Linked DNA regions of Lonchura striata. The protein of the gene in region 2 purifies or fractionates together with the protein of the main gene of each other region. This does not show direct contact. Links are inferred from orthologs where the notes say so. Each region holds a gene or a part of one and is shown on either strand. Other genes may lie near its edges. The genes, in order: MED4, CDK19, MED21 and MED31.

What was found.
Region 1: the proteins of CDK19 (region 2) and MED4 purify together in Homo sapiens (affinity purification with mass spectrometry; 7 studies listed by BioGRID and IntAct, counting the BioPlex papers as one, with this or other methods). This does not show direct contact. The link is inferred for Lonchura striata from reciprocal best matches to the Homo sapiens genes CDK19 and MED4.
Region 3: the proteins of CDK19 (region 2) and MED21 purify together in Homo sapiens (affinity purification with mass spectrometry; 6 studies listed by BioGRID and IntAct, counting the BioPlex papers as one, with this or other methods). This does not show direct contact. The link is inferred for Lonchura striata from reciprocal best matches to the Homo sapiens genes CDK19 and MED21.
Region 4: the proteins of CDK19 (region 2) and MED31 purify together in Homo sapiens (affinity purification with mass spectrometry; 6 studies listed by BioGRID and IntAct, counting the BioPlex papers as one, with this or other methods). This does not show direct contact. The link is inferred for Lonchura striata from reciprocal best matches to the Homo sapiens genes CDK19 and MED31.

What each region holds. Positions count from the first base shown.
Region 1 is NC_134604.1:61,908,341-61,915,758, reverse strand, and holds the start of MED4 (mediator of RNA polymerase II transcription subunit 4), read left to right. Parts: upstream 1-4,410; coding exon 4,411-4,529; intron 4,530-6,701; coding exon 6,702-6,768; intron 6,769-7,120; coding exon 7,121-7,291; intron 7,292-7,418. UniProt on the Homo sapiens protein: Component of the Mediator complex, a coactivator involved in the regulated transcription of nearly all RNA polymerase II-dependent genes.
Region 2 is NC_134605.1:68,775,891-68,783,592, forward strand, and holds the start of CDK19 (cyclin-dependent kinase 19), read left to right. Parts: upstream 1-4,702; 5' UTR 4,703-4,805; coding exon 4,806-4,933; intron 4,934-7,702.
Region 3 is NC_134607.1:1,479,598-1,487,162, reverse strand, and holds the start of MED21 (mediator of RNA polymerase II transcription subunit 21), read right to left. Parts: upstream 3,012-7,565; 5' UTR 2,968-3,011; coding exon 2,926-2,967; intron 2,715-2,925; coding exon 2,600-2,714; intron 1,941-2,599; coding exon 1,840-1,940; intron 1-1,839. Other genes in the region: TM7SF3 (transmembrane 7 superfamily member 3), read left to right, coding at 3,943-4,012. UniProt on the Homo sapiens protein: Component of the Mediator complex, a coactivator involved in the regulated transcription of nearly all RNA polymerase II-dependent genes.
Region 4 is NC_134622.1:11,673,674-11,681,197, reverse strand, and holds MED31 (mediator of RNA polymerase II transcription subunit 31), read right to left. Parts: upstream 3,015-7,524; 5' UTR 2,925-3,014; coding exon 2,915-2,924; intron 2,409-2,914; coding exon 2,331-2,408; intron 1,723-2,330; coding exon 1,626-1,722; intron 892-1,625; coding exon 699-891; 3' UTR 509-698; downstream 1-508. UniProt on the Homo sapiens protein: Component of the Mediator complex, a coactivator involved in the regulated transcription of nearly all RNA polymerase II-dependent genes.

The DNA.
Region 1 (7,418 bases), on a different chromosome or scaffold from region 2:
AAAATTATTAAAAAGCAAAGTCAGCTTTTTCATTTCCTGTCTTATCTAATTGGTCCAAGATAACTACCCAACATCAGTGAGCAGGGAAACATAGATTTCTTTTAAAATAGCAATAAGAAATGGATGATTTATCAGACACATTTCAAAATATTAACAGTGTAATGACATCTTGACAAATGAGGGACGATTATTCTCATCTTTCAAGACCAAAGTACAGCTGTGAAATCCTTCCAAACAGTGCTCAAGATATTTGATTTCTATTTTAGTTGATTTTTGACAGAAAGGATTTTATTTTTACATTATTTAGGGGAAGTAGAAATGAGTAACTGTTCTGTCCCTTTTCCTTTTTGCTCTCCTTGTGTATCCTCCTGCCTTTATATTTTTAGTGATTGCAATGCTTTATTACACATGGTCCTGAGAACCTTCAGGTATTACGTATCTTCTGTAGTCTGTATTTTCCTTATTATTTTAAGGTGTGGTAAACTTAGCTGTTGCAAACTGAACACCTGATGTCTAGTGTCTGGAATGTATAAATTAGAAGACAGCTGAAAAGCACTGTAGCCCAGAAAAAATACAGATTTTAACTGAAGCACACACCTGCTTTGGGTTTCTTAGGCAAGATTCGCTACAGCTCAGCTTCTACATTCTAAAGTGATTTTCTAGTTCATAGGAAAAAAAACCAAAAAAAAACCAAACAAAGTAGGAATACCTAGAGTGAAGGAATCACAGTATTATGTTGGAAGAAAATGCTTTGCACTAGAGGAATCCTAGGTCTGAATAGCACTGAATTATGAATAAAAGAAGGGAAGATCTCACTTTTCAGCACTAGCCCACAGTCCCATGAAATTAGTTGCAACTCAAGCCACACTCTGAAGGCATGGTTCCATATGATGAGGTTAGAGTTCACTATCTAAAACAGAAGGAAATGAACATCCTCTTCCAAATTAAATATTCTTCAGTCTGGTTATTGAGTTGAAGTGGCTCATGGCCCATATGGCAAACACCAAGAAGGAGCTAAGGGTGGGTGAAAATCTGCAGTTGGGACATGAGAAGTTAGCAGCATCTCAGGTTCTTGCCCTTGGTGAACTATTAGATCAGATCAGATGCTCCTAGATCTATCTAGAGGAATCAGTTTGCTCTGCTGATCATCACTTCAAGGCCCATTCTGGAAGAGAAAAGACTCAACTGAACAAGATAAAATAAGCTATTTTTGCTTATGCTAGAAGGTTCTTAACAATACATTCAGTATGCCATTGAACAGACAATTTGAAATTAAAGAGCTCTGAAATGTTTAATAAACTCACTGTGCAAATATCCATGTATGACTACACAAACTAAAATGTTCTCAGTCTACTGGAAAAATTCAGGAACAATGCTTAGTTATTCAGGAGGAACCAAAGAAGCAGATCTGGCTCAAAACCAACAAAACTATGAAAAAAGTTTACCCAGGGGAAAGTAGGCAAAAAGCACTGAAGAACTGAGGTAACAGAGGAACCAACACTGGGGGAACAGAGGCTCTGTTGTTTTTATAGGGAAATATTTCAGAAGTCTATTCAGCAAAGTATTCACTCAGTCTTTAAGTAATCAGTCCATGGGGGGCACGAGTTTGGGGCATGAGCCCATTTCACCCAGCCTTTCCCTTTGTTCTGAAGGAGATGACCCCTATGACATGGTTTGAATTACTTTCTATGTCTTGGCACAGACAGGCATTCCCTGATACCTCTGGTCTCACCCTGTCCTCCCACACAGAGGCACGAACACAGTTAAGTCTCTGCCTATTCCACTGCATTCCCCAGACATGGCTATGCAGCCATGGGCAGTAGAGAGCAGACAGTTGTCCATGTTGCCTGGAAGAGGAATAGAAATTTGAGAAGTAGGTTGGCTGCTCCAGGGAAAGATGGGTGGTATTGGCCTGGTTGGGTGGAAGTAGTACTGCTGTGAAGAGGAAGGGAGGGAACAAGCTCCCAGGCAAAAGGAGAATGAAAGATCAGGCTACAGAAATCACCTATAATCAATATTCACACCTGTCAACTCTGGGTGTCCTATTAATGCTGCAAGCTTTTAGCTCAAGTGAAACCAACATTATTGCCCTGAAATACAGCACTCAAGTCTAAATAATCCAGATGTCAAAATGAGTATGAGGAAGAAAATGATTTAGTGGAAGGACTGCTTTGTTTTTGATGTCACTATTTCTTTCTATTTATGCACCCATACAGACACTAACGAATCAGTGAACTGGATGCACAACCAGACACTATCACTGATTACATCTTTCCCTGAACAAAAGCAAGGAAATAGAGAAGGGAAAAAAAAGCAAGCAAAAGTTATTTAAAAGGCAGAACTATTTAATGAGATTTTATCTGCTATGCAGTTTAAACAGAATTCCCAAACTATTTGCAATCAGAATGTTGAGGGTTGTTGGGCATTGCAAAGGAATTTTAAATAACTCCTGTTAGCAAAGTCTTTTTTCTCAGAGTTGCCAAATCTCATTGCTTTATCAAAAATCTCATAATGTTGAATTGCTTATTTAAATCACAATCCAAAGAATTACTGACTAATGAGTTTCTTGCCTTTTTTTCTTCTTTAAATAAATGTAAATTTCTCAGGAATACACTTTTTGCAGAAGGTAACAGATAATCAGAGTAAATACCAGCAGTCAGAGAAGTTATTGTTCCTGTAGGCCTTTTTCTAATCAGGGGAGAAGAAAATAGCTGTTTACTGGCAGCTGCCTGCTGACAGCAGAAGGACACAGGGTCTGGGGCTCCCTGTTGTTCTATGGTAGTGCTTGCCCTAGTTAATAAACCCTGGCCCCAGATAAGCTCTTACTCTGTACTCCCTCATCTTCCCTCCAGCCTGGCCTCACAGGGTCTTTCCACATTACTGAAGCTTTCATGAATATAAAAAAATTCCACTGGCTACACTGTGACTCCACCCAGAAGGAGCAGCCCGTTTCACCACCCCATAGAGCGCAGCATTAAAAAACCCCCACAACATAGCAGTACCTTTTAATTCCAACTCAACTGCTGGCAGGGCTGGGTGCAGGATTTGAGCCTATTATTGTGTTCAGATTCTGCCCCCAGCAGGCAATTGTGCCCTGACCATTGTGTGTAGAGGTCCGTGGTGGACACCAAGCTACCTTCATGGACACACACGTGTGCACGGGCAGTGTCAGGAGGACAGTGATGCCTCTAGTCATGTAAGGGACAGCCAGCCCAGGTAAAACCCTGGTCTTGGTCTGATTTGAAGTTCAGGTTTTTGATATGCTTTCAGTATCATGCACTTAACCTTCCTCAGTTGCCAGTAAAACACCAGATATATAAATGTCTAAAGGAGACGTGTCAGGATGGAGCCTGGTGCTTCTCAGTGGTGTCAAGCAATAGGACAAGAGGCAATGGGCAGAAACGGATGCACAGGAAGCTTCATCTGAACATGAAGAACTTATTTACTGTGTGGGTGACCATTCACTGGAACAGATTGCTTAGAGAGATTGTGGAGTCTCCCTCACTGGAGATAGCAAGAACCCTCTGGATGCAATCCTGTGCAGTGTGCTCTAAGACAACCCGGCTTGAGCAGGGAGGTTGGACCAGATGACCCTCTGTGGTCCCAACCTGACCCTTTCTGTGATTCTGTGATTTTATCCTCCATCTGATCAAAGACACCTGAGGGATTTTTGGACACCAAGACTCTCAAAAATTGAGTTAAAGCCCCTGAAGATGTAATACAGTTGCACACACTTCACCTGCAGCCTGTTTTCTGTATCCTTAGCATATATCAGTGTCATCTGGAGGCTCTTTGTGGGGGCCCGGGGACTCCACAAATGCATTCCAGTTGGAATGGTTGTAGCCAGGTGGGGACAGACCTCTCCTCCCCAACAACTAGCAACAGGAAGACGAGAGGTCACCGTCTGCAGCTGCACCAGGCAAGGTTTAAGTTGAACATCGGGAAGATTTTCTTCACCGAAAGGGTGATTACGCATTGGAATGGGCTGCCCAGGGAGGTGGTGGAGTCACCATCCCTGGAGGTGCTTAAGGAAAGACTGGACGTGGCCCTTAGCGTCGCGGTCTAGCTGACACGACGCTGTTGAGACTCCGTAATCTCAGAGGTCTTTTCCAACCTAAATGATCCTATGATTGCAAGAGCAACAAGCACAGATGCTCGAGGAGCGACCTGGCCTCAAGGCAGGCCGCAGAGGCGACCCGCTTTCCCTCACGCCCCCAGCCCGCGGGGACGCGCCCCGAACCCCCGCTGCGCTCCGCCCCGCCAGCCGGCGGGAAGGGATCCGCCCCTCCGCCCCGCGCATGCGCGCCCGCCTCGCGGCTGCCGCTCGCCCCTGCGCCGCCGGGGGCGCTGCCGCGCGCCCGCGCGCGCCTCCCGGGGGCGGTTCCCGCTGGGGTCCGCGCCGGGACGGCGATGGCGGCGGCGGCGGCGGGAGCCGGGGCCGGGGCAGCGGCGGGCGCGGGGGGCGGGGAGCGGAGCAGCACCCGGGACCGGCTCCTGGCGGCGCTGGAGGATCTCGAGCTCTTGGCCAGGTACCGCGCTCGGGCCCCGTCGGCCCCGGGTGGCGGCGGGGCACCGGGGGCGGGGTGAGGGCTGCCGGCGGGGCGCGGGCGCGGAGCCGGGGTTGGCGGGCGGAGCGGAGCGGCGGCCCCGGAGGTTGGGATGGGATGGGAGGGGAGGGGCCCGGCGCCACTGCGGCGCTGGCCCGACCCGGCTGGTACGCGTTTTCCTGCTCTGGCCCTCCTCGGGCCGGCCCTGCCGGAGAGGGGCTGGTGCTGCGCCGGGGCTCGGCCCGGCCCTGCGCAGCGCTTCCCGGCGCTCATCCCGCTGGAAAGCATCGGTCGTTTGCAGAGAGAAGGTGTAGCTTCCTTTTTCTCCCACTTGCCTTTCTCCCTTGGCTGACACCTCTGCTTCCTGTGAAGTGCACACTCACACGCCGATTTTAGGCATTTTATTAGTCACTAAAAATATGCTTAAGTCAGAAATACGTAGATGGTGTGGCATGACATCACCTGTTCAGGTCATTGCCTGTATTAGTGCCACATTCACTCCAAGTAGGCTGCAGCGCTTGTCTTCAGAGTGATAGAAATGCTCAGATACTTAATCCAGGGTCTTTAGTCCAGGCTGGTAATCCTCATCCAAATTGTCAACCATGTCGTGGAGGCACAGCTGGCAGTGAAGTTCAGATAGTTCCTAATTATTTTCCACACCTCAAGGAGAGCAGGAATTTAGGAAAACATTTTCAGTGGGAATACCTGTACTATCCATGTGGCTTGCTCACTGAATGAGTTCCAAGACTAGGATATGCTATTGGTGAGTTGCTCTCCTTGTGGCAGGTTAAGTTTTATCCTGTGTCACAGATTTTATTGAGACATAAGGGTTGCTGAAGAGCATATGTTTATTGAAAAATGAAAACAAGCTTATTCTTTATGTATATTGCTAATATTTTTTAATGCTGGAACTAGTGTTCTACCACAATGAAGCCAGAGCAATTCTCAGCAAAATTTAGTGAATCTTCCTGTTGATCAGCTAAGTGTTGCAGCACCCTGGGGCTAGGCTTTTCTCAGTTTCAATACTGGTTTGGTGGTAGGGACAAAAATTAAGCCATATGTCTAATCTGTAGCCTTTCTATAGTTTTGAATCTATGTCTGTGCATTACCTGGCTGACACAGGGTAGAATTACAGCACTAGTTGACATCACCTTTGATGGTGGTAGGTGACCTACTTAAAATGGATTTTATTTGCTACTGCTCAGCGTTGGTCAGGTAGAATAAAGCTTTAGTAACAGTGACAATTTTCTTTATTGTCTAATTGTTTAAAATCATAGTAGTGTTCAGGAGTGACCAAGAGATATAGACCAAGATCAGAGTTTTACTGGGGATTTTTTTAGACATTTCTGGCCCCAGTGCTATATTACACACACACCCCACTATGCTGCTTACACTGGACCAAGCAAAGAGTCAGTACTTCCAAGGGCAGTGTCTCCAGATGACAGTTACTTGTGCTTAGGGTTGAATTGCCATTCATAGCCTTAGAAGCCAAATGACTTTGCTGAATTTACAGAAAATGCCTTTTTGCATCATGGTACCCAGAGTTCTTGCTGGCTTTCTGAACACAGGCAGAGTATCTGGATATCTGGAAGAGTGATCAAGAGGTCTGTTTGAGAAGCACTTCTAGCCTAGCAACAGAGTATTACCAGGGTTCTTTTATATTTTTTTGTGTGCTTGATGCATAGCTAATATACCATTGTGGGAATATTTGTTGTAAAAGCAGTTCCATAACAGACTCTGTTGGTATTTGAAAGTGTAGACTTAATTGCTCTAAATTACAAGTATATTGGAGAAAAAGTGGAAAAAAGTAGAGAAGTAAAACAGTGAAGACCCTCTTGCAACAAAGAAAGCTAGTAGAAGAAGGATCTGAGTGCACTCCATTATGCTGTTTCTTCTCTCAGGTTCTGTTTATGTCTTTTATGGTTTAACAGGAACTTAGCACATTTCTTGTTCAAATACATGAGGGTTTCATGAGCTCAAATAACAAAAAAATATTCTTTCTTGGTTGAAAAGTCCCTGCCCACACTGTACTATAAAATATAAACTGCTCAGGTCCATGAATACTTTCATAATTATACCAGTACTCTGGTAATTTTGGGATGACTTGATGTGAGAATGCTGTAGGAAATTGTGCAAACGGAGTTCTCCTTTCAGGGAACTAATTGAAATTTTGGCAATTTCAAGAAACCAAAAGCTTCCACAACCAGGAGAGGAGAGCCAGGTAAGCTGCCTTTCTGAATTGCATTTCTTTGGGTAAGCATAATGCTTTGCTTCTAATTTTTTTCCATTTTTTTTCTTTGTCCTTACTTTCTCCTTTTGTCCTTGCCTATATTCAAGTTAATGGTCATGGTGGGGCTTTGGCCCTGCTACAGAGGCATTATTGGTTCTCCTGCAGTTTATTAATTTTTTATGTGCTTCATAGGGCGTTTCTGCAAACAGGAAGAAATTTTCTTTCATTTTTCATTCAAGCAAAAATACTCCTATGGATGCCATTTGCTCTTCTTTGTAGCATGACTGAGAGTGTGTTGTTACTCTAGCCAAATTAAAAGTTCTACAAAACTGTTGTTCAATAGATCCTGGAACTGCTGATTCAGAGAGATGGAGAGTTTCAAGAGCTAATGAAGTTGGCAGTTGATCAGGGAAAAATCCATCATGAAATGCAGCTTTTAGAAAAGGTAGTAGAAAAGCGGGATAATGATATTCAGCAGCTGCAGAAACAGCTTAAAGAAGCAGAGCACATACTGGTAAGTTCATAATGATGTGTTTGCTTTTGAGCATCTTCTTGTAGAAAAGGCAGTTCTGGGCAAAGTGGTGTTGTGTTAGTTTGAGACGATTTAAATACTTAAAACTTCATAAGAGCTTAGTGGTTTG
Region 2 (7,702 bases):
TCATACTTGCTAGTCTGTAAAGAGAAGGTAAGGAATAGCTTTTGCAAGAGTTCTCTTAACATGGAGTAAAGCAGTACAGACTATTCTGGAATCAGCTTCCTGGATTATGCTCAAGAAAAGCAGCACGAGGTTTCTCATTCAGTACTATTTGGATTATGGTACTATAAAAATGAATTAGAAAACCCCCAACAAAACAGAGCTAGCCAAATAATTATATCATGAGTGCAGAAGTCAGCCCTCCCTTCTTTCATTCCTAGCATGCTCTCTAGATTTACTGTAAAATTATAAAAGAACCCCTGAGTTACGTACTTTGTTTTTTTACAACAATATAACAAGGTTAATACTTTTACTATAGAGGTTTAGAAGTTAATTGACATAAAAGATTCCAAAATTCAGAGCTTTACTGGGAATCATAACATATGAACTTGAATTGATATTAATCAGTTGGGGAGTTTCTAATCTATCCCTATTAGAAGTCTTCTGGTATTCTGTCCCATTTTCATTAGCTCTTCACACTGCCATTAGTATGTTTAAAAATTCCAAGTATATCTCTACACATTCTGAAACAGGTCTGCTAGTTTTCCTCTGCTTATGAAGAGATGATAATACAGTACATACGAGACTTCTATCCATCCTAAGGTTTCTCTACTTATATCCCTGGGAATTCTGAGAGCCATCCTTCCACTCTGAAGTGAAGCAACATTGGCTTTAAATGTGACAGACAGAAGTCCACACTGAGTGCATATGTTTATTAATATCACACTCAAGATCTACTGGAAAAAATGCTATCTTGATCCCTAAGAATAAAAAATTTCCTATTTGATTAACAAGTAAAAGCTTACAAAGAGAGTGAATTAGGAAAAGGTGCTGCTACTTCCAAATGTGGCCAAGAAAAAGAAAAAAATCCCACCACCTATCTTTTAGTCTCATTAAAAAATGAAGAGAGATTTCTAACAGATTGCCCAAGGAATGAAACATGCTGGAAAGCAAATAGGAGTGTATTTTAAGTGCAAGGCAATCTACAAAGAACAACAAAGTTCTGCATGTATCACTTTCTTGGCACTGAAGTGTTAAAAACCAAATTTTTCCTTTTTGCATGAGAAACTCATGTCTTATCTGTGTTGGAAAATTGCTTAGAGATCTGGTAAGGATACTCAATTCCTCAACTTTCAGTCTTGCTTGACATATCTTTTACCTCCAGTGCAACTTGAGTTTTGACTCCAGTGACTTGAGTTTTGGAAGAAATGGTGATTCTAATGACTGACAATATGGCATCTTCAGTTAGGCTAGCAGGCTGAAAAAAGTCCTTCTTGCAATCTGCAACCTTGTAATTTTCTGTTTCCATTGCTAGGACTACTCAAACTTTATGTGTCAGTACAATTAACAAACGATATGGCACTGCATATTAAAAATGTTACATGAATGCTATTAAATATGTGTTACTGGTATCACAACTGTTCCACTAACTTGGAAGCGCAATGAAAATGTCATAGTATTTTTCTGTCTCTTTCTCTCGAACAATTTGCTGTCACTGCTCTGTAAATGGCTGCTTGCTACTGCTTCTCCTCTGGGAACCACCTGGAGAGGAGATGCCAGGTAGCTGTTTTCCAGCAGGTCTGACAGCCTGTGCCACATACAGTGTTTTTTCCACCTTTATGAATTTGAAACGGAATCCTGCTGTATACTCCAATCTCAAGAAGAAACAAATGGGCCCATTTCCATCTTCCAACCATAATAAAACTTCTGCACAAATGAGATGGTAGCCTCATTCTCATCAGCTCTAATCTGGCCCGTGCTTGAAGCTGTTTAATTGGTTCTACACTTTTAGTGGCTTTTGTGTGGCCAACATAAGGATTCAGAAAGTAGAAGTAGGGCTGAGTCATGAGAGAAGGAATCAGGGCACAGATCACATTCTGGGCTTTTCCACAACCTGACTTGTACCAGTCCAGCCTTCACTGGTGGGGCTCACAAAGGGAATGAGAAGAGCATGGCTTTATTAGTCCAGCAAAATCAAGGCTGCGTGGGGATGAGACTGCTGTCTATAAATACTTTTGGCAGGGGTACACACAGGAGAGCAGGAAAGGCTACTTCAGGACAGTATTTGCACAGCAAGAAAAGATGGACGTGGTACTGGTCACAAGGAAACGTAGGTTTGACATTTTTAAAAGGCTTCCAGCTGTTAGAGAGGTTTTTCCTCGGACAGCCTCCCAGTAGCAGCACTGAAGGCCAAAAAATTTACTGGCAAAGCACAATTAATTTAGGGAAGAAAGGATAAAATGGCTGCTTGCAACACTAGGGAACAGTGTACAGTAGAGGGTGGAGGGAAAATTATACTGCCTTGGCTTACAATGCCAGGTCACCATAATGAGGGTGCTCTTACCCCTCTCTCACCAGCACTGTGGACTTAAAACAAATTATAGTAAAAGACAGTCTTGTCAGTACACTGTAAAATTAAAAGAGTAAAAACAAATGCCTTACTGATGAAAAGGGGCAATAATGGTTATTTTTCTTGGTCAAAGAGGGCAATAGGAACTACTTGAAGAGTTTATTGTTACAAATATTACCAACACCAAGGTAGTCTGTATTCCATTTGATGTTAAAACTGCCAGAATGAATCTGGGTAAAATAACCTTCTACAGATAAGTTCTCTTTTTTATGTCTGCATCTTTCTTCTCGGTGTTCGTTTTGATTACTAGTTGACCAAAGATGTGAACGCTTTGCAAAATTTAAATAGTTAGCTCTAATTTTAGTAAATGTCTTTAATGGTGACTGTGAAAGATCGATGGTGTTCTTTGTCCTGTTCAGGAAAATTGCCAGCTCATGATCAGGCCTTGCTCAGAAAGATCCACATCTGCAACTGCAAAGCAAAGCACTTGAGCTCTCTGGAAATTATTACTTTGGTAAAGGAGCAATGAAGTTTCTGAGAACTTCAGTTGCTAGCTACCTGTCTCAAGGGAAATTCTGAATCATCTCTTGCCTTCTGGAAGAAATAATCACCTCAAAATGGTTACACTCCTGCCTTTCCTTGAGAAACAAACTTCTGGCTATGACCTCATGACTTAGCTATGCACTAGTAATCATATATAGTACCCTACCTTATCATGCACTTGACACCTCCCTTTGCTTTGTCAGCAACGACAGCTTCTCATCAGCTTCTCTACCCCTCCCATCCAGCATGTGGAAAAACTTTCCATTGTGGTAAGTAATGCTGGCAGAGCAGGTGACGAACTGAGATTGTTTTTGTGTATGGAGAGATGCCATTTTTATTCTCCCCTCCTCTAATTTAATTCTGCTTCATTCACTTGCTGCTGGCGGGAGTAATCGAAGGTTGAACACACAAGGTGGACGCTCAAGTGCTTTGCTTCTAGAGTGGGATGTAACCTGCAGGTCAGGTCAAGGCTGACCTTACACTCCCTACAGCTCCCTGAAAGGAAGCTGTAGGTGCGGGTCAGCCTCTTCTCCCAGACAACAGGTGACGGGATGAGAGGAGATCATCTCAAGCTGCTCCACTGGGGGCTTATGCTGGACATGAGGAAGAATTTCTTTACAGACAGGGTCATTAGATTTTGGAATGGAATGCCTGGAGAGGTGGTGGAGTCACCATCTCTGGAGATATTTAGGGAAAGAACGGACATGGCACTTAGCGCCACGGCCTGTAGTTGATATGGTGGTGTTTGGTCATGGACTGGATTCGCTCTCAGAGGTCTTTTCCAGCCTGACTGACTCTGTGATTCTGTGTGACTCTTCGTACAGTTGCCTCTGCCTGGCACTTCCATAATGCAAGTAAGATTGCAGACTGGTGCTTTTCACAAAAAAAGATCTTCGAGAGACCAAGACATAACATTAAAAGGCCTGAATGTTTCTGTGATCTCAAAGTGCTTTGACGAAATCTGAACCCCAAAGCAGCGCCGCGTTTATCTAAAAATCTCTCTGCTCGGGGCTGAAGGGGCACAGCCTTGCTACGGCATCGGATCATAAAGACGCAGCAATACGCCTGGCTTCTATCCGAGCGCAAACACAGTATGTACCCCCGTATTTCTGTAAGCGACCGGTTTATTTAGCAGCACCTAACGACGCGAATCCTAGCAGGATTCCCGTTTCCAACATGGACCCGCAGCGCCAAGCCCTGGAGCCGGCCGGGCCCGGCCCCGCCCGCCGCACGGCGGGGCAGCACTGACCAATCACAGGGCAGCATCCCGCAGGGAGGCGGGGCCGGACCGTGAATGGCAGCTGGCGAGATAAACAAGTCGCCGCACTGTTCGGCGCCCCGCAGCATGGGTGCGTGTGCACTGTCTGCTCCTCTGTTCCTCCCTCCATCTCTCCCTGCCAGCCAGAGGCGCCGCGTCCGGCTGTGCTCGCCGCTCCCGCCTGTGCGCGCAATGTGAAGAGTCAGCAAGTTCCCAGCGGCCGCTGAAACGCTCCGGTGTCTCCGGAGAGGGCAGTGCGCCGACGCCGCCCGGCCGGGGTGGCCCGAGGCATGCCGGGAGTTGTAGTTCTGCCGCTACGGCGTCCTGCCTGCGGCGGCGGGGCCGGCTCCCGCAGCCGCACTACGACTCCCGGCACCTCGCGCGCCGCGCCGCGAGGAGCCCAGTTGAAGCGGGTGGCGGCGGCGGAGCGCGCCCCCTCCCCCCCGCCGAAAAGCCCCAAACCAAAACAAAAACAAACCGGCCCCCCGTCCCCCTCGCCCGCCGCCCCCGCCGAGCCCCGGACATGGCGGCGCCGGGAGGGGGCTCCGCCAGCTGCGGCTGCTGATCCGGCCGCCGCGTCCCCCTGCCCGCCCGTCCCTCCCCGCCCATGGGCGAGACATGGACTACGAGTTCAAGTCGAAGCTGGCGGCCGAGCGCGAGCGGGTGGAGGACCTGTTCGAGTACGAGGGATGCAAGGTGGGCAGAGGCACCTACGGGCACGTCTACAAGGCCCGCCGCAAGGACGGGTAAGGGCCGCGCCGAGAACCCCCTTCCAACCCCCCCATCCCCCCGCACCAGCGCCCTCCCCTCCCTCCCTCCCTCCTCGGAAAGTTTCTGGCAGCGCGGGGGCCGGAGCGCGGAGCCCGCCCGGGTAGCGCCCGCCCCGCGCCGGGAGCGGGCCCCCTGCCCCGGCCCCGGCGCCGCTGCCCGGCTGCTCAGAGCGACGGAATCGGTTATCTGGAAGAAACCTCTGAGATCATCGAGCCCACCCTGTGACCGTACATCACCATGTTCAGCTATACCGTGGCACCGAGTGCCACATCCAGTTTTTCCTTAAACACCTCCAGAGACGGAGATTCCACCACCTCTCTGGGCGGCTCATTCCAATGTCTAATCACCCTCTATGTAAGCAGTCCTACCTAATGTTCAACCTAAAGCTCGTCCCGCTCTGCCCCGTTTTCCCCCCGCCATCCCTGGTGGTGCGGTGTCAGCAGGCTGTGCCCTGGGGTCGCCTTTGCTTTGCACGCCGTGTTTCAGGTCGTCGCTTTCGTCTTTTGTGTGACCGCGTTCGTAATTTGACGGTCTGTTCCGATTACTGGCAGGGGATTGAGAAGGGAGGAGCACCTGGCTCCCGACGGCCCCTCCCCGGCTGCTCCCTCCCTGTGTGTTGGTCCCTGGTGTGTCCCCAGCCCCAGGCACCCTGCTGGTGCCAGTGCCGGGCAAGCTTGGCTTGATGGCCTGTCCGGGATGCTCCTTGTAGGCAGAGCTGGTGGCTTCTGTCCAGTACCAATGCACAGGTGTGTCTCCATCAGTTTCCCATGAAAGAGCAGGATACAAGTCCCTGTCCCTAAACACTTGGCTGGTGGCTTTATACAGAGAGTCCTTTAGGCGTTAAGCCCATGTATGTTGGCTAAGCAAGGTTTATTCTCTTCTTTGGGGAAAGCCAGTATCATGGGATAAGTATTCCATGGATGCTGTTTTCACAGTATTGTGGTTAAGAGAGCAGTGGGGAGGTAGGGTTGCAATTTGAGATTGTTTGACTGGCATACAGTTGTTAAAGGGGAGCAGTCCTGAGGCCTGAGCAAGGCTTTGTGCAGGTGTGGGTTCCAAATGGAATAATTTGCTTTCAGAAGAGCCATTGAGCACTTTTTCACTGTGATGTGTGCCTGGTGCACAAACCCAGGCTGTGTTTTCAGAGTGTTCTAAGCATACTGTAAGGTTGGATAAAATATACCTGTGAATTACAGGTGATTCCTTTCTGTCAGAATGTTAAAGGGAATAGCCTTCCATTATAGCCAATGGAAACTTTGAAAAAGAAGAGACTGAACGTGGAAAAATGACAACTTTTATTTAAAATTTTGGAAGTGGTTAATGGAATGCTGCTGCTTTAGATTAGTAGAGAAGTCTAGGGATTCTTCTGTAGGATTAAATGGCATTCTTGTGTGTCGTGAAAATTTAAACTCTGAATTAGGAGGTTGTAGTATAAAAGTGATTAATAACTGAAAGGTAGACACTAATTCCAGTGAAGGATTAACTACCCAGAAATGAGCTCTGATTCTGACTAGCTTGCTCTGCAACCTTAGGAATACTAGAGCGTAACTAACTTGAAATATCAAAGCTTTTCCAGGTATTACAGTGCCACTGAGCTCTTCCAATATTTTTGAGTTAAGTGATCCTGGTTGCTTCTTTTTCCTAATTATTAATTTATATATATATATGTAAAACATACATGGGATAGGAGGAAAGTGGTAATAAGGAAAGGAAGCAGTAACAAAACCACCAAAAATGCTAGTTAGATGTCTGTTGCTGTTCTTTGATATAGTAAGCCTAAAATTGCTGCTTGTATGAACAGCATAAAAAACGGCAGCACTTGGATTTACTGTTTCAAGAAAGAAAGAAATTCGGAGTAAGTTAAAGTCAGACATTTTTCCTTTCCATCATCTGAAAGGAAAGCCATCACAGGAATTATATTGCTGCTACAAAGCACCATAAAGAACATGTCTTCAAAATCCCTAATGATATGACAAATGCAAATGGGTAGTAAAGCAAAAGTAAATATGATAAAAAGATAGCTAATGTGTCAGAGCTGGGAATAATCAAAGGGAGACCTTGAGCTGTAAGACAACTAACTGGTAAAAGGAAGTGCAAAGTTTCAGTGCTGTCAGATAGATTGACATATAATATAACATGGCACAAATTCAACTGTACTATATACTCAGAGGCTTTACTTCATGAAGTTTGAAAGTGACTTATTTTTTCTCTTTTTTCTTTATATTAATTTTATGGCATTGGTGAGTTCACTCTTAGTTGCTCTTGTGTAAATTTAGATCATTGGGTGAAAGTAATATGTGAACAATTTAGGAAAATATTAGAAAACAACTAAAGCCATTAATATGAGATAATTTCCTTATGTAAACTCCTAGCTAAAGTATATATTCAGGTTGGAGGATATTTAGCATTAGTTATGAACTTTAAGGGATCCCTAATAAAAGAAATTAGCAAAAGAAATCTAGCAGTGGTGCATATTCATTGTGTGCTGATCACTGGGGGCTTTTGAGCCTCGTGTAAAGGAATTCTTCTTTAGCTGATTGCAGAAACTGTTTCAGTATTTCCAATTTGCAAAGCATTCCTGTATAAAAGAAACATTCTGTCTTCTTGCTTCATGTAGGTAATTTACAATCTCAGGAGGCTGAGGGCAATAAGAACCTTGTAGCTCTGCAGAAATTCCACTGAGAACTTGTCACTTCATGTTTCAAAAAGTTGGCATATGAATTTTATGAAATAGTAAAATGTGT
Region 3 (7,565 bases), on a different chromosome or scaffold from region 2:
TCTAATTGGACAATATTTATTAGATATGCTAGTTTGTTAAACTCATAAAATTGTAGAAATCTGATGCTGGGTGTGACCAAGATCATTGGGACACCTGGAAGCTTCCAATAAAGGCCTGCTTTTTATTTTACTATTTTAACACCGTTGCAAGAGTTTCCTCTTTTGATGTTGGGCAACAGGGAAAAGCAAGGATCTTCAACAGAATCCTGAAGTGACTTTGCTACTGAAGGATGATGAGAGAACTGGTTCTCCCTAAAAAGAAAAATGTTCTCTTGTTTAATAGTTGACTGCAGCTAATCCACAGATTAGAGCAGAATTTGTACTGTCAGCTTCACAAGGGGCAGGTAAATTGTGTTGAGCATTTGTGTAGCAGCTCCTTTTGTAATTTACGACAAGACTCAGATCTGAAACATACACCAAGACAACTTTAGTATAAAAAAAGCAGATTTGTATTAAACGAGTATTATCTACCACTTCTCAACTAAACCTATAGTGCATATTTGAGAGTGTTTCAAGCATCCTTAAAACCATTTCTTTGAAGACTATCAGAATATTTAATACTGCACCAAATTAAGCAACAGAAAATAAAAATCAAAACTGGAATCCAAGTGATGGAATCCAAGCTAATTTATCTTAAAACCATAACATATAGAAAGGATCTGAAATTTTTGTGACATGAAGTTCTTCATTAAGACAGCAAGAAACTGTTGAAGTATCACCTCTAAGGAAAGCATATCCTTACTGGATAACCAGCTCCTCCTTCTGGAGCACCCTGCTTTACCCACACCAGCTGCCACTTTGATCAGACTCTGCTCAGTCATGGAACAAACTGGAATTTGTCTGCAGCAGGCATTCTATCTTCAGCTATTAAAAATGCACTTACAGGAAATTATGCCAGTGTTAATGAGCCCAATTTTGATGTTTAGCAATTACTGCGACTAGCGAAGTTCCCAAATTTAACCTCCTCTGTTTAAAACAAACGTGATGCCACTGCCATGTCTCTTCTCTTTGGCTTATTCAGTGTCAATCTTCTGTAAAACACTTTTAAACAGTTACAAACTACCAATGCAAGTTTAAAACTTTTAGGTGGTCTTAAAGGTGATCATCAGGTTTGTCAGAGAAACAGCACTCAGCATCCTTTATGCATTCCAAAGAGAAAACACTTGATGTAAATCCAGCCATTAAGAGTCACAAAGAAAAATAATAAAAAAAAAAGGATGGTTTTAACAGGTAAAATCTACGAAAAAATAGGGAAAAAAAACCCAAAACAAGTTTGATTGGCTCAAAGGAAGAATCCTTGTTATCGAAAAGTGATGGAGTTATTTTGTGACAGAGCTGAAGAACCTAAAGGACACCCCGCAAGCTCTTTAACCAGAAACAATGTGGCAGAACAAAAGACTTCTGTAGCATTAGTTCTGCAGCTACAGAATGAAATGTGAGAAAATATGAAATATAACCCAAGGGGAAAAAACGAATAAAACAATGCACAGAGCATCAGTACTGTTATATCTGTTCTGTTAACATCTGAAAAAAAAGGTGAGCAGTTTCCAGTGCAGTGGTGGTGTGAAAAACCATCTTTTTTTTTACATTTTAACAGAAAACTAAGTCTAAAATATTGTCATTGATTATAACCTTATTTGGAACTAGATGCAAGGTCACTATTTCCACTAAGCCTACAAAGCACGCTTAGGCTGCCCTTGTAAAAAATTCAGGTTTGTACTAAAATCATTTTTCAATGGTGACATGGCTTAGAGATGAAAAAACGTGTTAAAAAAGAAAAAAAAAGAAGGAAGTTTGCCTTCAGGAGCATCCTGATGTCAGAATTATGAAAACTCCTACCTGCAAAGCTGCTGTGGATTCTTCACTGGGCAGGGAATCTATGAGAACATCGATATCCTTGGCGGTGCGAGCGATCAGAGCTGCGAACAGCTGGGCGTACTCTGCACAAAACACAGCACAACTCAGCCAATCACTCGGGGAATTTTTAGAAACAAGCACAACTCTGCTGCCACACTGTTGATAGTAAAAGGGTTTTAAAATCATGGGGATTTAGGGTTAAAAAGAAAATTAATTTTAGTAGGCCCTGAAAAAAATAAGTACCCTAGGTACATGAAGGTCTTGTACCTTGCTAGAACTGCACCTGTGTAGCTAGTACGTGATAAATTATATAGTTGTTAGATGTGATGATTGTTTAGTAATTAAATATAATTACTGTTTAATCGTAAGAATAATCATGAGAAACTGTAGTCAGGGGCATAACAAAGATCACGAGAAACTCATGGTTGAATAAAGTCAATATAAGTTTAATAATTAATATGTAAGTTATATAAGGATAGAATATAAAAGACGTGTAGCTCGAAAGCCATGTCGGAGTCAGATTTGAGTCTGTACCGCTGATTCCCAGGGCTCTCAATAAAAGCACCTGCAGATAACCATCCCCCGTGATGATGCGTGTTCCTGAACGCCAACACTGCTACGCAGAAAGCGCAGCCGACACCACCCCGAGGTATCCCCAGCCCTCCCGCAGCTGCGGGGGAGCTGTTCGCCGAGGGGCTTTGCACTCCCGAAGCGCGCAGGCGACGCGGGCAGCCGCACTCACCCTCCGTGGGGTTGACGCCCTGGTCCTTGTTGATGGCCGTCTGGATGTTGCTGAAGGAGGCCGGCGGGCCGCACTGCTGCAGCACTCCGATGGCGTTGCAGAACTGGTCCGCGAGCTGCCGGCACCAATTAACGCGGTTAATTGGCTCCTCGCCCTGCCCCGCCGCTGCGGCCGCCCCGCCTCACCGCGCGGCACCCCGGCCACGCGCAGGCCGCGCACCCCACACCCGCCGCCGTGCCCCCGCCCGGGGCGGGGAGCCGCATCCCCGCAGAGCCCGCGGCGTTCCCCGCGGCCCCGGGAGCGCGGAGGCGGCGGCCCCGCCGTACCGAGTTGACGGCGTCCTGCAGCTGGGTCAGCCGGTCCGCCATGGCCGCGCCGCCGCCGCCGCCCCTGAGGCGCGGGGCGCGCGCGCCGCCTGGCGGCCGGGAGGAACGGGCGGCCGGCGCCCCTCGGGGCGTCCGGGGGAAGGCGGGGCTTGGCGCCCGGCGCCGCCCGGCACGGCTGCGCCCGCTGACCGCAGAGGTCTTTTCAAAGCTACGCCATTCGGGTACTGCCACGGCTTCTGCTGTGCGGCAGCCGCTCTGAGCCCAGCTGAAGGCTGCAGCAGCGCTCGGGTGCTCCGCTCCAGCCCCGATGTGAGCAGGGAACAGCCAGAGTGTAATGCTCCCAACGAGCCAAATCAGAGCCAGCACCCGGCCCCCGAGCCCGGGGGTTGGAGAATAAATGCCATTCGTGCCAGTCGGTTTGTGCCCATCTTTCTTACCTCTGACAGCTGGGTACAATGCCAGCCTTCTCCTTAGAGAGCATCTCTTCCTAAAGGGACACTTTCCACTATCCCAGGTTGTTCCCAGCCCCATCCAACCTGCCCTTGGACACTGCCAGGCATGGGACAGTCATAGCTTCCCTGTGCTACTCTCATAGGGAAGAATACCTTCTAATATCCAGTCTAGACCTCATTTTGAAGCCATTTCTCTTACCCTGTCACAACACGCCTTTGGAAATAACCACTCTGTAGCCTTGTCACTGATGCTGCGGGTGCAGCAACGACACAAACAATCCGCCCAAAGTGTTTTCCCGACGGCACGGATGGGTGACGATCTGGGCTCTGCTCACGCTCTGAAGTCAAACCCCAAACCCCACACTGCCGATCCAAACCCCACCGCGCACTTTCAGGATTTTTAGCCACCGCGGCCAAACGCCTCCCCTCCGCCCGCCCCGGCCGGGCCGGAGCGGCCCCGCCTGCCGCCCGCCCCCGGCGCCCGCCCCGCCCCGCCCCGCGCCGCGCCGCGCCGCGCCCGGCCTGTCCCGGCCTCAGCCGCTCTGCGCGCTCCCTCCGCAGCGCCATGTGGGGCTGGGCTCGCCCGGCGCTGCTCCTGCTGCTCGCGGGGGTCCTGCGGCACGGCGGAGCCTCAGGTGAGGGCGGCGGAGCGGGGCGGAGGAGCGCGGCTCGGGCCGGGGGCTGCGGGGCCGTGCCCGGTCGCGGCCGGCGGCGCGGGCTCGCTGCCGCCGCGGAGCCTTCGGGGCTGTCCCCGCCGCCACCTGCCCTCCGCAGGAGCGCGGGGCAGAGCTCCCCGCGGCGCTGCAGAAGCGCCGTGTGTGTTCCTGCTTGTCTGCATCTTTCATGCGGACAAGGAGAGCCACCCTCTTTTTTTATCCCCTTTCCCTCCCTATCCGCTTTTTTTTTTTTTTTTTTTAAACGTCTTAATTGCCGTAAATGCCATAATTGTAACTGTTTCATGGATAATTCAGAATGATTTTGGCCGCGGGGGTGCGGAGCAGGTGATGCGGATGGTGTAGGGCTGTATTCCTCGCACAGAAACGAGGTGGCATTGGCCACTCGTGAACGTGAGTTGACATAGCTAAAAGGCGATTTGGGTTGGTTTGCTTGCCTTTATCCCCCGACCATGTGCAGGTGTTCATGGGTTCTCACCACCCTAGTGGATGGTGGGTTGAAAACCACTATTGCTATAAAACTAGGGAAAGGGGTAAAACCTAGAATTTGGAATTTGCAGCTTGGTTCCTAAACTTACTTTCTGTCCGTACTGATGTAATCTGACTTTATTTGGCATGGGCTTTTTTTGTAATTTCCCTGTGTTCCTGCATGTGACTAAAATAGGAGTCCAGAGTTAAGTGTGCTATAATAAGTATAGTTCAGGAAGATTTACAGTCACTTCTTTTTTTTTTTTTCTTTTTCTGGTTAAACTCTTATCTGTTCAAATAAAGGAAAAAATAAACAGTTTCCTCTCAGAGATAATTCAAAGATAAGCAAGCAGTCCTTCTTATCAGGGCTGATATAAGCCTCCTCCTTTTAGTTGCTTTAGTTTTGTACTGCTTCTAACCATGGACTCATAGAATGGTTTGGGACCTCATCTCGTTTCAACCCCCCTGCCATGAGCAGGTTCACTTTCCACTAGACCAGGTTGCTCAACGCCCCACCCAACCTGGCCTTGAATGAATGAAGCTTAATTGTCCAAAGGAGACTCTTTGGATACTTTGCAGGGCTGCAGGACAGCATTTGGAATCAGTCTCAGGTGTGGAAGGCTTCTCTCTGCCCAAGTCTCATGCCCAAGATCCTAATGGAGAGCCAAATATTCCCTGTTTCTTGCAGGACCTAAAAGCTTTGGCTGGGCACCTGATGGTCACAAGCAGGTGTGAGAATAAAAGCTCTGCTTTCTTAGACCTTAATGTCCTTAAGATAACTTAAAGGATGCTAACAAGCAGTTTGTCTCCTAGACTTGATGAAATTGGGTCATGTGTTGAGTAATTTTTCTACATTATGTAAAAAGGCAAAGCAACTATGAGACTAAGCAAACTGCTTTGCCTTGGAGGAACCTGTTGCTGTTTTTCCTTGCACGAATGAGGGTGGAGGGGAGGAAAGTATTTCCCTTGTGAAAAGCTAATAAGCTGTGTAATTTGTGTACCAGAGTCTAGCTGATCATTAGGGCCTTTAAAAAAGGCCACTTGCTTAATGGTTCACTGATTTGAAATTGTCTTGTGGTTATTCAGTTGTGGGCACCCACTTTTCAGGGATGGGCTCTGCTAACTCCTATTTCTTGAAGCTCCTGCTTCATTTTAAAAGTGCTGATCAGTAAAATCTTTGCATGATGGCCTGTGTAACCTCTCTGGGCTTCTGATGGGCTGCGGCCCCTCAAACTTAGTCTTTGTGCAGAAGTGTTTTCTGCACTGATTGTTGCCTTCCAGGGAGTTCTGTCTTCCTGAGGAGGAGTTCAGCTGGCCGTGTTTGCTACATCCAAAGTGGGCTGTTTAGTTTTGGAAAAACTAAAGTGAATTTATAGTGTAATCAGGACTGAGGGGTGCTTTTGTAAAGGGAGCTTATCTGGGTGAAACTTGTTTAGTCTATGCAGAGATGATACTTTACAATAAGATGTTCACACAAATCTCTTCCCTCACTTTTCAGGCGGTAAAACACCTCTAGCCTGGTGAACAGAATAGTCCTCTGGGATGGGAATGGTGCAGATGGTGGCAAGTCACATTCTGTGGTGTCATCTGCTTTAAGTATCAAGCTGTTCTAAACATGAGTTTCAGTACACACACAATCAAAGTTTAGAAGCTTTCAGAAATGTTTCTGCTTCTTTTGGGAATAGGGTAGGTGCTGTATTTTTTTTGGGGGGGAGGGGGGCTCAGTAGTGTGGGAAGACAGACCCTGTAGCCAGACTCTCCCATTATCTGTGTCTGCATGGCCTTACAGGTCTGATAGGATATGGCTCCAGGCTTTATTCTGTTAAGTAACTGTATGCTAATGTTTTTCTTACTCAAACTGGTTGTCAGTCTGAGCTTGCATTTCATCTTCATTAAATGTCTTCATGTGACTACTTGTACTCCCTGCACTGGAAAGTTCTCCTTGGCTCCTGGAGCTTGCTTACATCAGGTTATTCTGCATATCCACTGCAAGGTGCTTGACACCCAGTAGAAATGTGTTTTCTCTGACTGCACAGAACCTCTTTGAGAGAAGGATAATGTTTGAGCATGGCTGTATGGGCAGCAGGGGCATTTCTTCAGTTGTTTTTCTTACTGGAAATTGGACTGCTGGTTGTAATCAAGAACCCTGTGTGGTTAACTGCTCTGTGGTGGTAGGGAGTGACACTTGGCTATTGGAGCTGGAAATGTGGTTTTCTCAAAGCATCAGAGGAGCCAAGAGCTTGGCACTGAATCAGCACAATGGAAACAGTTGAAGCTGGGTGTAGCCTGTTGGAGAAAGCGTGTCACAGGGAAGGGATAACAAGTGCAGAGGCTCTGGAGTTGTTTGTCTTGTTGTTTAGAGTTAGGAATAAGGACTTTTGATCTCAGAAGAGTTCCAGGAGGTTCTGTTTCTTGTCTTTACCGGTTTTGCCCTTCATGTGGGAGAAGAGATACTGTGGGATGACAGAGTGGGCTGTTTGCTGTGTTCACCAGTTCTGTGTGCAGGGCTATCTGTGCTACAGCCCTGGTGCTGTTTATGGAGTAATACATGCTCAGTGCTCCCTCTCCACTCTGCTGCTGCTTGGTTTCAGCAATGCTGACTTCCTTTCAGCATCTGTTCATTTGATAAGCTCTGTAGCAGTTTGGGTTCCTCTCATGTATCTAACCCAAAATTACTCTGATGTGTAGTGACTGTTACAGTCCTTCCTATAGGGCAAGGAAGAGAGCATAGCCTGACACCTTTAGAGCGTGTCCAGGCCTTCACCATTGGAAGCAATAAAACAAGTTGGGATGCCTGGATTTTGCTCCCATCTTTGTTGCTGACTTGCTGAATCAACTCTCTCACTTGTGAGGTGGAGTTAACTGTGCTGCTGGTCCTGCAGACCTGTCTGGTGGGCCACCTCTGGGCAGGTCAAGCTTGCCCAAAGGAGAAGATTGCATGCTGTGACCAGCACTATGTGGTTGTTGAGGTCTCTGTGCCTTTCAAAGGATGTTTGACAAGACTGAGCTCTCTGTGGCTCAGGGAGTCTAATACCTGTCTGGTATT
Region 4 (7,524 bases), on a different chromosome or scaffold from region 2:
GTGTAAAGAGACTTCAGAGCAGCCACTGCTTTACAGGCAGAGGCCAAGATGCAAGGAAGCTGAGTTTAATAGAACAGAGACAGCTACAGCTTGTTTCCTTCTCTATCCTGCAGAATTTATCAGCATTTATCTCTGCTCCACTCCCCAGACCTCACCCTGTACACTCCTGATTTCTATCCGTACAATGTGCTGTAAGGAAAACAAACTTCCATCAACAATGACTGCCAGGGTAACAGAAGTGACATGTAATAGCTCAGCTTGGTTTCAAGGAAAAACTGCACAGTTTTGACTTTGTCTATCATCACTTCACCTTTGCTTGTCCCAGAGCTGTAAGTAGCAGGGAGTTCTCTTAAGATACATCATTATTCTCCAGGGAAAAGGTTTCCTAGGAACAGCCTTTAGAGCTACACTTCTTTGTAGAGAGTTGGTAAGTGACAAATCTAGATTTTGTTTTCAAAATCAAGAGGAATCAATAACTATTGTAGTAAAGCTCTTACAAAATTGTCCATGCTGTAAAATAAATTGCAGGTGTTTATTAGTTTTTAAAGGAGTTGATGAAACAAAAACAACCCTAGTCATTTGATAAATTCAAATAAAAGGCACAGAGCCAGAGCCAAACTTGCACAAGGGTTCATTCACCTCCTGTAAATACTTCACTAACACAAAGTACACCTTATCATCACTACTCTGTGTGCTTTTCATTTTACAGAGGTGTTGTTTTGTTGCTGCTGCTCAGCCAGTGCCTGCTGGAGGCGCATCCTTTTCCGGGAATAGTGCTGCCAGTGGAGGATCTGTTGCTCATCAATAAATTTGGCACACTGAGCATTGACCAGCTCTTTGCGGAAATGTTCATACTGAAGCAGCTCTAGCATATGCAGACATTGAGGATACCTGGGTTAAAAATAACCACACTTTAATACAGGTTTTTACAAGGGACACTAAATCTAGAGTCTCCAGTACTTCTGTGGGTCGTTAGTTTTGACTCATATGTGCTTTACCCAAGTGTGAAACGACTTCAGCATGAACACTGTGACTTGGTAACTGCAGCATCAGGCCAGGAAACAAGACAACCAATTCCAGTAATAAATGCACATTCCTGCTTACTTACAGTAGCTTCCCCAATGGCTTGGTTTGATAGACCAAATCTATCCATCCATCCAACAGGCTTTACAAGGCCTCTTTCCAGAGCCCAATTAAAGATGACCAAAACCATTTTCCCAAAAACAGAAGGCATTAGCACACTTGCAAAAACACAAAAATCATCTTTTGTCTCATGCAAGCATCAATAATGCACAATTGATCTTAAAATGCACTTACTGCTTTTTTGCCCTAATGTTCAATAGTTTGATTTTAAACCAATCGAAAGTGCAGATTAAGGCTTTAAAGGAAGATTCTATGCAAAACTCATGAAATTTTTATAATTTTGCCTATTGCTGCTACATGTGGACTATTGGAAACAGGGGAATCTACATTGCATATAACCATATGCATAATCTATGTTGCAGGAAGGACAAAAGTAATGCTACAGGCAGAAATGAAATCCTATCATGCTGCTGTACAGTGTTCAAAATGAGGTCAATGGCAAACCATTAAAATGCAGAAACTTAAGGGAATTTAGTACTTACTTCAGGTATTTTGCATATTCAGGTTCTTTCCAATAAAGTAAATATTTAAGATAATTTACAAACGCTTTATCTTTGAAGTAGCCTCTTTGTGCAAGAACTGAAATGACAAGGAATTGACAGTTACAGATGGGTGCAAAATATCAGCCTACTTGAAAAAAAATCACAAAGTCAAAGCTTTCTCATTACAATCAAATTTCAATAATTTATATTTGGCAAATTAAAAAACCACAGGGCAAAATAAGATTTTTATGTCAAGAAAATAATAGATTGGCCTCATCTCCCTTATAGTTTGTATCTTTCATTGAATGGAACAGCTTTTTGAAACAAGAAAACTTTGACAGTAGCATCAAAATTAACAGAGTTATGCACAGTACCTAAAACTATTCACATTAGTAAAATTCTGTTTTCAGATAAAGGAATGCTGTTAACTTGACATTACTTTTTAATAACAGACTGGAACTTGTTATTTTCTTCCTCCATCAAATAAATGCCTTTTTTTTTTTTTCTTGCATTCCAACTAACAAAAGACTTTGCATTTTAAAAAAAAATCCACCTGTTAAACAAATAATTTACAGGTTAGTTTCATGCTGTGAAAACCCTTTTCTTTGTTTAGCCCTCTCTCCATATTCAACATTACCGGTAACAATAAACAGCATTGCACTATATTAACTCTTCCAGGTTGTGGTATTTACTTTAAGTACTCACAGTTGAGGTAATTTGGATTTGCCAGACATTGAACAAACTCCAGCTCCAACTGGAATCGAAGTCGATTTCCTGTATCATCTGATTCAAGACAAAACCAGTAAGAATTGGACCCACACAGACTGAAAGCATTCGCAGTCTGTACCGGGACCAAAGCGGGCTGGGGCGGGTGAGGGCCACGGCCGGCGGCAGCGAACGGCGCGGTGCGCGGGCCCGGCGCGGCCAGGGCGCACCCGGGACAGGCCCTGGGCTGCGGGCTCCGAGGGGAGCCGTGCGGCGCCCCGCTCGACCTGCGCCGGCCCGGCACGCCCGGCGCTCCGGGGGCCTGCCGGCTCCGAGCGGCGGCGACAGCGGCCCCACGGGGCTCCTCCCGGGCTCCTCCCCGGCTCCGCTCCCGGCCCCGCTCCCGGCCCCGCTCCCGGCCCCGCTCCCGGCTCCGCACGCTCCCGGCTCCGCTCCCGGCCCCGCACGCTCCCGGCCCCGCACGCTCCCGGCCCCGCACGCTCCCGGCCCCGCTCCCGGCCCCGCTCCCGGCCCCGCTCCCGGCCCCGCTCCCGGCCCCGCTCCGGCTCTGCCCGCTCCCGCACCTGCGTCCATGTCCGGGCGCACACACCCGACAGCGGCGAGCGCGCCCCCTACCTACGGCCCGGCGAAATGCAACGCTAGGCACGCTGGGAACGCAGCGGCCGTTGCCTAGCAACGGTGGGGGCGGGGCCATGGCGGGGGCGGGGCGCGTCGGGGGCGGGGCAATGGCGGGAGGGGCTGGGCTATGACCGGAGGGGCGGGGCAATGGCGGGAGGGGCGGGGCTATGACCGGAGGGGCGGGGCAATGGCGGGAGGGGCGGGGCTATGACCGGGAGGGGCGGGGCCATGGCGGGCGGGGCGGGGCCATGACGGGGCGCGGCGGCGCCGCTGTGTGCCGCAGCCACCGGTCCTGCGGAATTTCCCCGCCTGAGGGAAAAGGCCCAGTGCCACCCGCGCTGCTTGTGCCAGGGGACCCAGTGCGAGTCCAGAGTGCCATTCCTGGGACTCCAGCTCCACGGCTCTTCCCGAACATGAACGCGGGCAGAGTTTCGTCCGTGTGCCGCAGGGCCCAGTCAGTCCCAGAGCCAGCGAGTGTGGCTTTGCGGTCACTGTTCCAGGCATGTTCTTTCCCCAGATACCCCTTGAGCTGCGAAGGATAAAAAGAGGATGAAGTTTTGTTTGTATTTGCAGAACATTCATTTTAGCTTTGTACTACACAAAGCCACTGTTCATCCCTTCCAGAGCAAAAGGAAGTGGAGAGAATCAACTTTTAGAATCAACTAAAACACTAAACTGTATTTAAAGTTTAATGGTAAATACTGGATATTGGACAAAGTTGGGAACTTTGCAGGGCTTTTTTGTTTGTTTGTTTTTCGTAGTGACTTTACAGTCAGCCAAAGAGATTTCTGTCAACCTCTACGCTTAATTCTTCATTAATTAAAACACAGTTGTCTCAGAATAAAACCATTAACAAGCAAATGCTCCTTGAGTGAGCAGCAGCAGTGGAAGCAATCTCTACAGGCTTACCTGAAATCCTTCTAATTTTTCCTTTTTTTGTTGTTTTAATTATTTTCAATTTTAATTTGTTGAAGTATTTTTGGCATCCAACATAGCAATTTTCTATAATACTATATTTTCCTATGCAGTATGAATTTTCCCCTGGGAATTGCATTACAAAAACCATATAAAAAGGATTCATGCATAGTTTTTTTCTTAATAAAAAAGAGTTGCTTTCTTAGGCAACATTTTAGTGGTTGTGGAATACTACTATTACTATATTAAAACATAACAAGTCACTCCCCAGTAAACACAGACTTTGATCTAAAAGAAGAGATCAAAGAGATCCCACGTGTCTGCATTGCTATTCTAGAACAGGATTTCTTTCCCAAGAGTGACTTCAGAGGAGAGAATCCTAAAAAAGGATTGGTCACAAAAATAAATTACAATGTAGGTTTGCCCAAGTTAAGTTAAACATCTCAATTCTTGTCCATCAAAATTAGGAATAAAATTGAAAATCAGGATTTTAGTATAGGAGATTTTATAGTTTAAATATTTTATATAGGAGAACATTCTTGAAGAAAAGTTTGGGGTTTTTTTTGTTTGTTTAGTTTTGTTTTGTTTTTAAATGTCAGGTGAGCCAAACTTGCAGGACATGTGTCAATATAACTGTGAGCCAGAAATTTGTCTTATTGTCATAGAACAAGGATGACATTGCTGCCTCAGTTTCTCCTTTCATAGACTAGACTGCTGTCACTGCTGTTGCCTGCCCAGAAATGTGATGGTTTAGGACAGTAAGTTTATCTTAACTCATTAGAGCTGGCATAGAGACACAGCTCTTAAATTGAGCCACTTCTGGGACCTGAAGCCACCACGGTTTTATGAGACACAAGAGAAAATAAAGTCTCATTTGGCATGCTGTTGAATCTTGAAGGTAAACGCTGAGGAAGAGAAATGCTGCAAAAGATTCCTCTGTGACACCACTGTGCAGTGCATCTGCACCAGAGAGAAAAAAGCTCCATCAATTTCATCACTGAGAACTGATCAAGTGAGATGAAATAGGGAAATGTTTTACACCGGTGCATGAAACCCAAGACATCCCCTCTTGTTCACTCCCATTTACCCATTGCTTTGGAATAGAATGCAAACTGATACTAACATGGACATCTGACAGGATTTTACCCACAGAATGCAAGACAGCTTCTGTAGATGGAGAGCATCCTGCTTCAAATATGGTTAAATAACAGAGAGCAGAGTATGCATTATGTTATATATATAACAAGCCAGCACAAAGTCTGCAATTTTTTTACTCCAATGCTATAATTGTAATTCAATAGAAAGAAAATCATAGTTTTCAGTGACTAAAACAATTGTCAGAACATATTTAATTAAAGGCTTAACTCTTCACTAAGTTCACTTTTTTGAGGTCAAGAAACTGGCAGGTAATGTGCATTTCAGAAGGCCAATAACAGTCGTGTGCAACCACTTCATCCACAGATGCTAAATACCGTTCAGGCAAGCTGCAAACTGGATGAAATAGTGTAAAAAGACTGGTGTATTGAAGGCACTGGCACATATACTTCTGTGACTGTGGTACTCCTCCAGCTTCAGACAAACACTAGAATTTAAAGATAAATTAAAGATTAAATGTCATGTGTCAGAAAGCATTTTATGTTTTTCCATAATGAGTTGGTTAAAAATATGTGAGGGCTTCTATTAAGACACCTGGACAGCAGGAGAATTTGAAATCAGCCATTTGCCGGGAGTAATATACATTCCTATGTTTCTGATTTCTGACCATATAGCCAAGGCAAAATATTGAAGTAAAATAGAAATTTCCTCCAGAATAATAATTTCTTAGTTGAAAGGTTGTGTTAACTTTGTTTCTGGTGGAAATTTGATCTTCAGCTGGCTTTCTAAAATATTTGCTAAGACCCAACCCAAGTTATTGTTCTCAAAGAAAAGCTCACAAAGGAAACAACAATAAATTAGATTTAGTATATGGAACATTAAGTTTTTTCAGGAAAATGGTTTGTCTGTAAAAAAAGTTTTATGAACACTGTAATGAGGCTCACACTCACTGAAACAGCTTATGAAAACTCATTGAAGTGCCATGTGCCAAATAAGTCTGGGAAATAATTTTGTGTGGGTAAATAAAGCACTGAAGTAAACTGGGAAAGGATAACATCTTTTCTCTGACAGAAGAAACAGCCTCTTTCTTATGGCCAGCATCCACAGTAAATGTAAATCTACATTTACACCATAATGGGCAGCTATTGACTAAATGCTCTAGAAAAAATGGGGGGAAAATAGCTTCAGTATAGTCATCTCTATTTTTAAATAACTACCAAACATTGTATTTAGCAGTCCCAAATCACCTCAGGGCACCATGGTATGCCTACCTTTACTCTGTGCTCCCAGTGGTAAGGGCTGTACTTCCCTCAGAATTTCTGTGCCAAGCAGAGGCAGTCTGCAGTGCATGGCAAGCCCTCTCTGTGTCACAGACCCTTCACTCAGGGACAGGTACAGATACACAAAGGGGAAGGTCTGATCTGCCACTGAGGAGCTGCCACTGATACGGTTCTTCTGGGCACAGGAGAATCAGCACCCTGCCACTAAACCATGCAGGCAAATGCTGAGCCTGTCTGGCAGGAGACTGGTGGCCTTGTGGTGCAAGAAGTGTTGAAAACCTCTCAATAGCACAAAGAGATTGATCAGACTTGTCTAAAATCACACTTTTATTCACCCACACTGGAAAACATTGTGAAAACTCTGTCACTTGATCCAAGGGCTCAGGATTCATTACCACCCACTTCTTCACATATTTAGCACAGACAGGGGAAAAAAAAAAAAGATGTGAAGTATGTAAAAATGTATACAATATGTCACTAGTAGAAAGGAAGAGGAACCACTCCTGCATTTTGGCTAGGATTGATGCAGTGATCTAATTCTTTTTCTGGGCTGATTTTCACCAACTGTCCAATTCCAACTTTGTCAGCAAATGTTGGGTTTGGCTACAACCAGGTTATTGCTATTTCAAGTGGCAACACACCTGAGCTGGAAAACAGAGGCTGAATAAGCCAAACACTGAGTTCAAATGAGATCAGAACTCAACTGGAATGCACTACTTGCTGCTCTGAACTCAGTGGATGACACCAACAAATCTGACCACTCTTCATCTTGGGGACAAGTTCTAATCATGTAGAGAATGCTGAAAGGTTTTTCTTCTCTATTTCACAGATCTAGATGTTCAACGTGTGGGCAGGAAATACCTTTGTTATCTCTTTGTATGTTTTCTTGTAGTTTGGTAATTCATTAACTCATTCACAGTTGTGAGACCATTCCCAAGCACTAGTACACTGTGGGAACAAGTTTGCACACTAGTACATGATCAGTCAGGAACCCTGTGCAACCCTGTGCAGCCCAGATCACAATGCTGCAGGTTTGGGACACTCAGTATTTGCAGAAACAGCATTAGCAACTTGATATTTTGGTAAATTGGTATTTTGAGAGAAGAAAGGAAAAGCCAAGGTTCCATAGAAAGAGGGCAGAAAATAAGAAAGCATTAATTTAGCTCCTTAGAGGCCTTAGAGGTGGCACTGCTAGCTGTGCTGCCAGCTGGCCAGCTGACAGACTCACTGACCACAAGGAATCACACTCTGCCCTCATATGGTAA